Arabidopsis thaliana: one gene and its partner. The protein of the gene in region 2 interacts with the protein of the main gene of each other region in a pairwise test. Each region holds a gene or a part of one and is shown on either strand. Other genes may lie near its edges.

Region 1 (4,477 bases), on a different chromosome or scaffold from region 2:
AAAATCAGATGTTTCCAGCATAAGTCTTCGAAAAAAGCGCTTGTAGCCCCTGTAAGCATATAAAATTGAATAAGGATCCGTTGAGCGAAACAGGGAAGTACAAAACTCTAAGAGGGAATTATTCCTCTGCATTAATAAGCAATGAGATCTTTCTAATAGAGAGACAAATCAAAGCCAAAGGCATCACCTTCAAGAAGAAGAAACCAGAGACAATGGTTGATTAATTCATACAAGCAGACTTAACAACAGATGTTTAAAAAAGCAGGAAAACCAAATGTACGAATATTGAGAGCAAAAGACAATACTCTGTTGCTTAACTCATACAAGAAGTTTCAAACCTAACATGAACAGTTTCATAAAAGCAAGGTTTGTGCTGCTATATGCAGGTAAACAGTAAGCAATGTTCCTACTTCAGAATTAGCCTACCATATTGAAAGAATTGGTGCCTATATAGTAAAACATCACAATGACAGGTCTTTGAAATCATGCCAACATGTGAAAACACAATACTTTTCAAGAAAATCCTAAATATCATCAGTCCAAACCCTCTCTCGTTCCCAATCAAGTTTCCTTAACTACAGAACCAACGCTACATGCTGGTGAAGCAGCAGGAACCAAATTCTGTTTATGAAAAGTTCAGGTAAACTAGTTACAGAATGTCCAAAACAGGTAATAGAACCTTCATATTCTAGAAACTTGCTTCTTCTACTCAAAGCCCTCTCTCTTTCCATACGTCACAGACTCACAGTTTCAAGCAGACCACAAAAATAAAGCCAAGCAGCCTCCAGCATAAAAAATAAAGAACATTGTTTATCGCTCTCACCACCCATCTTTCAATTTCATATACAGGTCACACAACAAAAAAGAAACAAACAGATTGAGAAATCCACAGCTAATGTATCTTTATTTCCTCTGAATTTCTCAATCTCTTTTATATTTTTTAATGTTGTGAGCTCAATCTCATTTTGCCTTCAACAATCTACACTCTTGAGTCTTGACCACTAATAACATCCGTAACCTCATATAAACCCCAACAAAGGAGCAAAATTTGTTCTAAAAGTAATGAGCTTTCACTAGAAATCAGAGACCCTAAGCCAATTCTTCACCAAACCCTAGCAAAATGGCTAAGAGAAAAATAAAAAAATTGAAAAGAAGAAATCGAAGAAACGAACCACATGCTGCCACGATACTTGAGAGTATAAGGACCGCTCTCAAGAGCACGATCGAAGTGGCTATGAACCTTATGCTTCCCTTTACCACTCTGATCAAGCAAAGAAAGCTCAAAAAGAGCCCTAACATCGGTACCATCGCTAGCTAAAGCAATGAAAACGGAGACATAAGCCGAATTATCCTCAGGATTCTTGCCATCAGGATAGAAATAGATAGCCCATTGATAACCCCCGACGGTGAAAGTATCGCTGGCGATGTGTTTTCCGATCCCGATTCCTTTAGCCAAAGAATAGCCTTTGATTGTGAAGCTGTGTGATCCGTTTATGGTCTGTGTCACCGAGAGAGAAGTCGTCGTCGGTGGCGATGGCATTTCGAAATTTCGTCGTTGTTGCTCGCTCTTTTGCAATGGATTTTGTCTTTGTAAGTTTTTTTCCTCTGTGAAAATGACAGATTTCATTACACAGACCAAAGCGACGGTAGTAAATCTATAGTTATGATTAACACAAAAAAACTCGCCATTTTTCTTTAAAAAATTCTTACTGAAGTGAAATTAAAATAGAATTTAAGGATATAAATAGAATTAAACGCAACGACGTCGTTTGTATATCGCTGGCTGAGAAAAAATATGCAGCGACTGCGAGAGTCACCACCACCGAAGACGCGTTGTCTTGGAGAAGCTTCCGACATTATTCCGGCCGCCGATCGATTTCTCCGATGTGCGAATTTGATTCTCCCATGGCTAAACCCTCGAGAACTCGCCGTTGTTGCTCAAACCTGCAAAACCTTATCCCTAATCTCGAAATCTCTAACCATTCACCGATCTCTCGACGCTGCACGATCCTTGGAAAACATCTCAATCCCGTTTCACAACTCCATCGATTCTCAACGATACGCGTACTTCATCTACACACCTTTTCAGATCCCCGCTTCATCTCCTCCTCCGCCGCGACAATGGTGGGGAGCTGCTGCTAATGAATGTGGATCGGAGTCTAGACCTTGTTTTGACTCAGTGAGTGAAAGCGGACGTTTTGGGGTGAGTTTAGTGGACGAGTCAGGATGCGAATGCGAGAGGTGTGAGGAAGGATACTGCAAGTGTTTAGCTTTCGCGGGGATGGAAGAGATAGCTAACGAATGTGGGTCGGGTTGTGGATGCGGGTCCGATTGTTCGAACCGGGTTACGCAGAAGGGGGTTTCGGTTAGTTTGAAGATTGTGAGAGATGAGAAGAAAGGTTGGTGCTTGTACGCTGACCAGCTTATCAAGCAAGGCCAATTCATCTGTGAATATGCAGGTTACAATTACATTTCGATTTCATATTACATGATTAGAGGAATATTAGCATTAGGTAACGTTAACCAACTTTTGGTTTCCTAATAGTATAGTGATTCGTTTTATTGCAGTAGGTCACTAATTTTGGAAGATTGATAATTGGAACTTGAAAATCAAGCTTAAGATTACATGATTTGAGGAATATTAGCATTAGTTATTAGCCTTTTACACTTGGACTGCATATGATTTAGCTCGATGCGTTGAGATGAGATTCTAGCATGGTATTAAGAGTGATCTCCATCAGTGAAAGATCTGAGCTTTCGAAATGTTCTTGTTTCAATCGTTTAGAGGTAGTATCACAATGCTGGATTTGGAGATTAGAGATAATGACAAATCTTTCTTCTTTCTTGAATGTGTTTTTTCTTTGTGATCTGCCTTAATGACTTGGTTTATGCAAAAGTCATAAACTTGATTTTGTCGTCTCTTCTTATAGGTGAGCTATTGACAACAGATGAAGCACGTAGACGTCAAAACATTTACGACAAACTCAGATCAACACAATCCTTCGCTTCAGCTCTTTTGGTCGTACGCGAACACCTCCCTTCAGGACAAGCTTGTTTAAGGATAAACATCGACGCCACAAGAATTGGGAACGTTGCTAGATTCATCAACCATTCTTGTGACGGTGGAAATCTCTCCACTGTTCTGTTGAGAAGCTCAGGAGCGTTGCTTCCTCGGCTCTGTTTCTTTGCAGCAAAGGACATAATCGCAGAGGAGGAGTTAAGTTTCAGTTATGGAGACGTAAGTGTGGCCGGAGAGAACAGAGACGACAAGCTAAACTGCTCTTGTGGTAGTTCCTGCTGTTTGGGAACGTTGCCTTGTGAGAATACCTGAATTCATCATCATCTTGTCTCGCTATACTAATGTCCAACACTCTTATTATTTGAAAAATTCGAGTTCTATGTTTGTAGCAAACACAACCAAGCACCGTCATTGTCATTCGGAAGTTACACTTTCTTATTAATAGCGGCTCTACTGATTTGGAGAAGGAATGGGGGAAATTTAGAAGTAATTCACGAAAATGAACCCACCAAAATGAAGTCATGAAATACTAAGAATTTCGTGAAATAAAACTAATTTTGAAAATGGCAAAGTACGGAAAAAGAAAAGGGAGGATTAATGTTGTGAAGAAAAGGAGCACGACAGACATGAAGGTTGGTTAGCTTACTAAAGAACTCCACACGAAACGGTCAACACGATTCTCGTGCCTCTCCTCTCTCAGACACTCTCACATATATACTTACTTCTCTATCCATACGAAATTACGTACGAATACGATACTTAGATTGTGGTAGCTAGCTATACTATACAATTTGTTATTAATCATTGTATCGTACATTTGTTTTACCTTTTGAGACAATTAACTTTCGTCTGATTTATCTTCCTTTTTTCCTTAAGATAAAGAACATTCATGTGAATTTCGTTATATACCACATGCATGCATCACTGGTTGTCTGGTTGATTTAAGTTATGTAAGCAAAAACATACAATTTTCTCTCTATATATACCACATGCATGCATGTACTGATTACATATTGATATTGGCATCAATCTGCTCCGCCCAATATTCTTGGGTACTCAGGGAAAACAAAAACAGATAATTTAAATTGCATCACATATTCTAGACTTAAACATCAAATCGATGTATGATTGGTTTTTCTAAAAGGAAATTAATCGTGTATACTTTTTTTCTTTTCTTTTCTTATCAACTAAATCGTGTACTTCATTTCATATTATTGTCAATGTCCTGAAGTTTATTTCTCTATACTTCGCAATTGTATATCTCTCATTTCAACAACTTTCGAAAGTTCCCCCCTTTGGAAACGTTTATAAGTGTTCGTCTTGTATAAGCAAAAGGACTCTAGATTTTTATGATTATAAATCTCAAATGTATATATCGCTAATTAATGGTTTCAGACGCAATGTACGCATTTCCATAAGTTTGTTATACTAGTTCTAACCATAACTAATATATTTACA
Region 2 (4,721 bases):
TAATAAAATTCATCTCATTTTATGTCGCTCTAACAACATGACCAGCTGAGCCCTAATTGCAAGTCTCCACAAAACTTAGAAATCTTCTAAGTTTTTGGTTTGATAATGAAGACGTAATTAACATAAATTAAAATTAAATTCAAGGTTGTCTATAGAGAAAGCCAAAAGAGGAGTCAGTACTAGTCTACTAGACAATTCACATGACCGTCACTTAGGTAAAAATGTTAAAAGACAAATGAAATGGCAGTTAGGGTACAATAGTACGTAAGTAGTACTAAATGATCATAATTATTAATAACGTCGACGTACTTCACTTCATGATGCAAGCTTAACACAAATACGACGTCAATTACGTATGTTCCTCGTCATGACCAATCTCAATCACAATCACTTATCATCCCTATAAATTTACACATTTCTTTAATAACAAATTTTAAATACTTCGATCAAGGACGTGCTCATGTGCAACACATAAAACATAACACACTTACAAAATAAAACTCTGGTTAGAATACCATGTTAAATTTCATGGACCAACCTAAAAAACTAATTGGCTACGTCCTTTATATCTTAGTCTTGGTCCCGATGTTTACCTCATACCAGTCCATGATGCAAATTTATATAAAGCAAAATATTTGAATATATGTAAATCGTTACACGAAAAAGATTCTACAGAACACATAAATACACAAGGCAAAAGAGTCAGAGAAGCATCAACGTACGAAGCTCAGAATCCCAAATTTGTCTCTTTTTGTTTTTCCCCCGGACAGAACCCGACTAAATCAATTAATGATACACATCATCTTTGGTACGTTTCCTGTTCTTCTTCATTGTCTCTTTTTGGTCTCATTCACACAATTGCAAAAATAAGCCAAAATTAAATTCAAATCCTCCCACATGACAAGAGAAAACGAATTTTCCAAACCCATGCATTGCCTTACAGAAATCATACTTTTTTTTCGTCACATACTCCCATTAAGCATATCTAGAAAACCAACTCAACGATACAAGTTTTTAAAAATAAGTATCTTAGAACCAAACCAAAAGTCCAAGACCACAACGGATACAAATACTTCCGTTATACATACACACAAACACACATATATCTATAGTATAACGTGACGTACAACATTCATTTCCATAACCAGCAAACAACACACGTAGTAGATACACCGAAAGTAAGAAAAAAAAAGCGATTTAAGTAAAAAATTGATTACCTCTGATTATATTGTTGTTGTTGTTCGACGATAGTGATAGTGTTGTGACTACTCATTCTCTGTCTCTTAGCATTTCCAGAAGAAGATGATTCCTCTACATTGCTCTTCTCCATCACCGCTTTCAAAGCTTCCTCAATCGTCCCTATACAGTACTCTTCCTCCACTTCCTCACCGGAGCTCTCTTCTCCGGTAACAAACAAAACGTTCTTGACTCGTCCCCCAACGGTGGTTATCTCCGCCTTGAGCGTTTTGAGACGCATAGCTTTCAATGTTTTAATCATGTCAGGCAAGAGATCCGACCTGTCTTCACAGCAAAGCGACGCTTTAATTACAAATCTGCCATCTCCGGTTTCTTCCTCCTCCGTGAAAGCTACCGTTAACTCATCGCTTTCCGTTGGGACAAGATTTGTCTCTGAGATCACTGAAGTCTCTCTCTTCAACTCTTTCACATGTTGGATCACTTCAGCTAGTAACGACGCTTTATCCGTCTGCATTAAAAAAAACGAAGAAAAAACATATTTGTATAGTTTCGAGGAGAAAATTATGTGGTCGTAGAAGTTATGATTTGGTCCGGCAATAAGACTTTTTATGCTTTTTAAGCAGCGCCGGTTGTTTCTCTTTATTACATCAATTAACCAAACGACGACATAGACGTTCCATATTCCTTGCTTTTTTATTTATACTACAGTCTCTGACTGATTCTCTCTCGGGACTTTAACAAATACCCACAAGATCATTGATCAAAACAGAAAACCTTTGAATAACTTACTTCTCCTTTTATAAAACCTAAATGTAAAAAAATAAAAAGAGACAAAATGTGACATAAACTTTCATGTCGCAGCTACTATGTTTTTCCACTTAAACTCTACATTGTTTTAGTATTATTTTTTATTTACAAAAAACTTAAACGGTGTGTGATTGATGAATGTTTTTACTTATGTATGAAAATTTATGTTATAAAAATTTTGGACTTACTTTGGTGGTGTTGGGTAATATGCTACGGAGCTTAGCGAGATGATTATTGATTCTCTCTCTTCTTCTTCTCTCAGCTTCACTATGACTCTTTGAAGCAGCCAAAGCTTTAGCGTCCATGATCTCTTGTGCTGTCATCTTCCCTAACTCAGCTTGTAACCCAAAAGGACCGGACCCGGCTTGTACTACCGGACCTAAAGCTTCCGACAAGATCCGAAGTTGTTCATGATGATGATGTGCTGCTGACGTGGCTCCACCAAAACCCTCGTACCCAAACTGTAATCCCTGATGATGAGCTCGACTTCTGTTGAAGAAACTTCCGTAGAAAGATGCTGGAGAAGAAGAAGGAGGAGGAAACTGATCAAATGGTGGTTGGATCGAGGTAGGTGGAGGTAGAGACCATATTGGAGAGACGGAATCTTGAGAGAAGATAGTGAAACCAGATCCAACGTTACCGGATGCTCCCAAAGTTTCAGATTGAGAAGGATCATGATGATGATGGTGATGATGAGAGATGAGTTGGTGAAAGAAGAGGTCATTTTGGTAATTTTGTATGTTGTTCATGGCTTCAGAACTGTCTTCTTCTTCTTCTTCTTCTTCTTCTTTCTTAGCGCACATATCACTTGTTTCTATGAAGACATGAGAGTCTTCATCTTTCAACTCTTTGTCCTCTTCTCTCTCTCTATATATGTATATATATATGTGTGTAAGAGAAAGGAAAGGTTGGTAAAAGAAGGTAGGAGAAGAAACGAAAGTTAAGAGAGTTAAAAAGAGACAAAAGTTTGCTTTCAAATGTTGTAGACGCAGACATATATAGGAAACTCATGCGTTTGTTTGTTACCAATGGTTTGCAGGATATGTGGAGTTTGCAACTTGTGTTTTGTGTTGTGGTGGAATTATTAAAAAGGTAAAAAAAAAAAGGTAATGGGTTTAAGATTCTTTAGATTATCTATCTTTTAATTTACGCATTTAGTACTTCACGGTCTATTTCTATTTCTATTTCTAATAAGTATATGGACAAGCAATGCGATCGCCAAATATCCATACACAGAAAAATAATTTGTATATATAAAAAGACACAAAAAGAATTTATATATACAAAATGACACATAATACATATCTTTTAAATTTGTTTCAGAGCATCGAAAATATATGAGTCGGCACTATACAGATTTAATTGATTTATATAAATAAAATCTACGCTATAGCACTAAACTAGGTATTAGAGACCACATAATATACGTTACAAATTTGTAGGTATCAACAAAAAATTGATTATTTGTCTTCTATTAGACCACTAACTAGTTATGGGAGAGCACATAACATTGTGTAGGATAGTGATTTGGTTATCTTTTTTTTTTGGTCAATTGTTTTCTCGTTGATATAAAACCATGATACTAATTAACAAATATTAACCAAATTCATGTAATCTAATAATTGATACTAATGTTTCCTTATGTCATCATCCGAATTCAAATCCTCATAACTAAATATTATGACCCTATTATATTGATAAGGCAAATGAGTTCTGACCATAAGGAATTAATGGGCTAAATGAGTTAGATTGTAAAAGATTTATGATTCACCAATATTTACCCACATTTTGTTAAAAACTAAAAAAAAAAGTAAATGATATTCGTTTCTTATTATATTCATGATATCATAATATTATCATATCATCACCATCATACCCCATTATCATCATCATGATCATATAATTTCACAATTTGTTTTTTTTGGTCAAAAACTGAATTTCAATGAATCGTGAATTATGTAATTTCGCAACTTCCAGCTAAAAGTATTTCATAATAATTATTGCTAAAAACACAAATCCACAATTTTCCGCTATATTCAATGTTTCGTAAAAACATGATTTTTGCAGAGAAAACTATATTTTTGTTTTGTTTTGCAAAAGCACGATTCCAAAATTTTGTGCCATAAAGGTGATTTCAAAATTATGATGATAATGGAGATGGTATGAAATGATGATCGTTATGTTATGATGATGATAAAAATGATAATGCGATGATGATGTGAAGACAATGAACGTATCACATATGATACCGATTGTAATAACTATTAATTATGAAAATATGTGATAAATTATTACAAAAATATTTTATGGGTAGAACTATTTTATCATTTTGATTTTCGACCCATCAAATTAGATAGATTAATAGGCATTTACCTCCCCTCATACCAGAAACTAGAACATTTTATATGGTCAACCTATTTACTAAATGGCTTACGTTCTTCGTTCACCTAGTTAACATTCACCCCATAAACATTATGGATCAAATTGGACTGGATTACCCATATTGTCACCTATAAATAAACAAAATTTAACATAAAATTAAATGCTTGCAAAATACTAGTGTCAAGTGCTAATAGTAAACTCGTCTTAAAGTTACAATTGTTATAACTTATAACATAATTTACAAAAGGTTTATATTATGGATTTTATATATATATATATATCTAGATTTAAAATTTATATTTTACAAGCTCTAGGTCTTCATTTGGAATTTATTC

Evidence for each region. Proteins that work in one complex are often made in the same cells at the same time.
Region 1: the proteins of AT1G68810 (region 2) and SDG20 interact in a two-hybrid assay, tested with the Arabidopsis thaliana proteins (one large-scale study listed by BioGRID).

Annotation. Positions count from the first base shown.
Region 1 is NC_003074.8:938,181-942,657, forward strand, and holds SDG20 (SET domain protein 20), read left to right. Parts: upstream 1-1,719; 5' UTR 1,720-1,795; coding exon 1,796-2,459; exon of another isoform or gene 2,460-2,930; coding exon 2,931-3,331; 3' UTR 3,332-3,914; downstream 3,915-4,477. Other genes in the region: BPM4 (BTB-POZ and MATH domain 4), read right to left, coding at 1-49, 1,173-1,627. UniProt on the Arabidopsis thaliana protein: Histone methyltransferase.
Region 2 is NC_003070.9:25,859,375-25,864,095, reverse strand, and holds AT1G68810 (basic helix-loop-helix (bHLH) DNA-binding superfamily protein), read right to left. Parts: upstream 3,003-4,721; 5' UTR 2,808-3,002; coding exon 2,193-2,807; intron 1,706-2,192; coding exon 1,214-1,705; 3' UTR 562-1,213; downstream 1-561.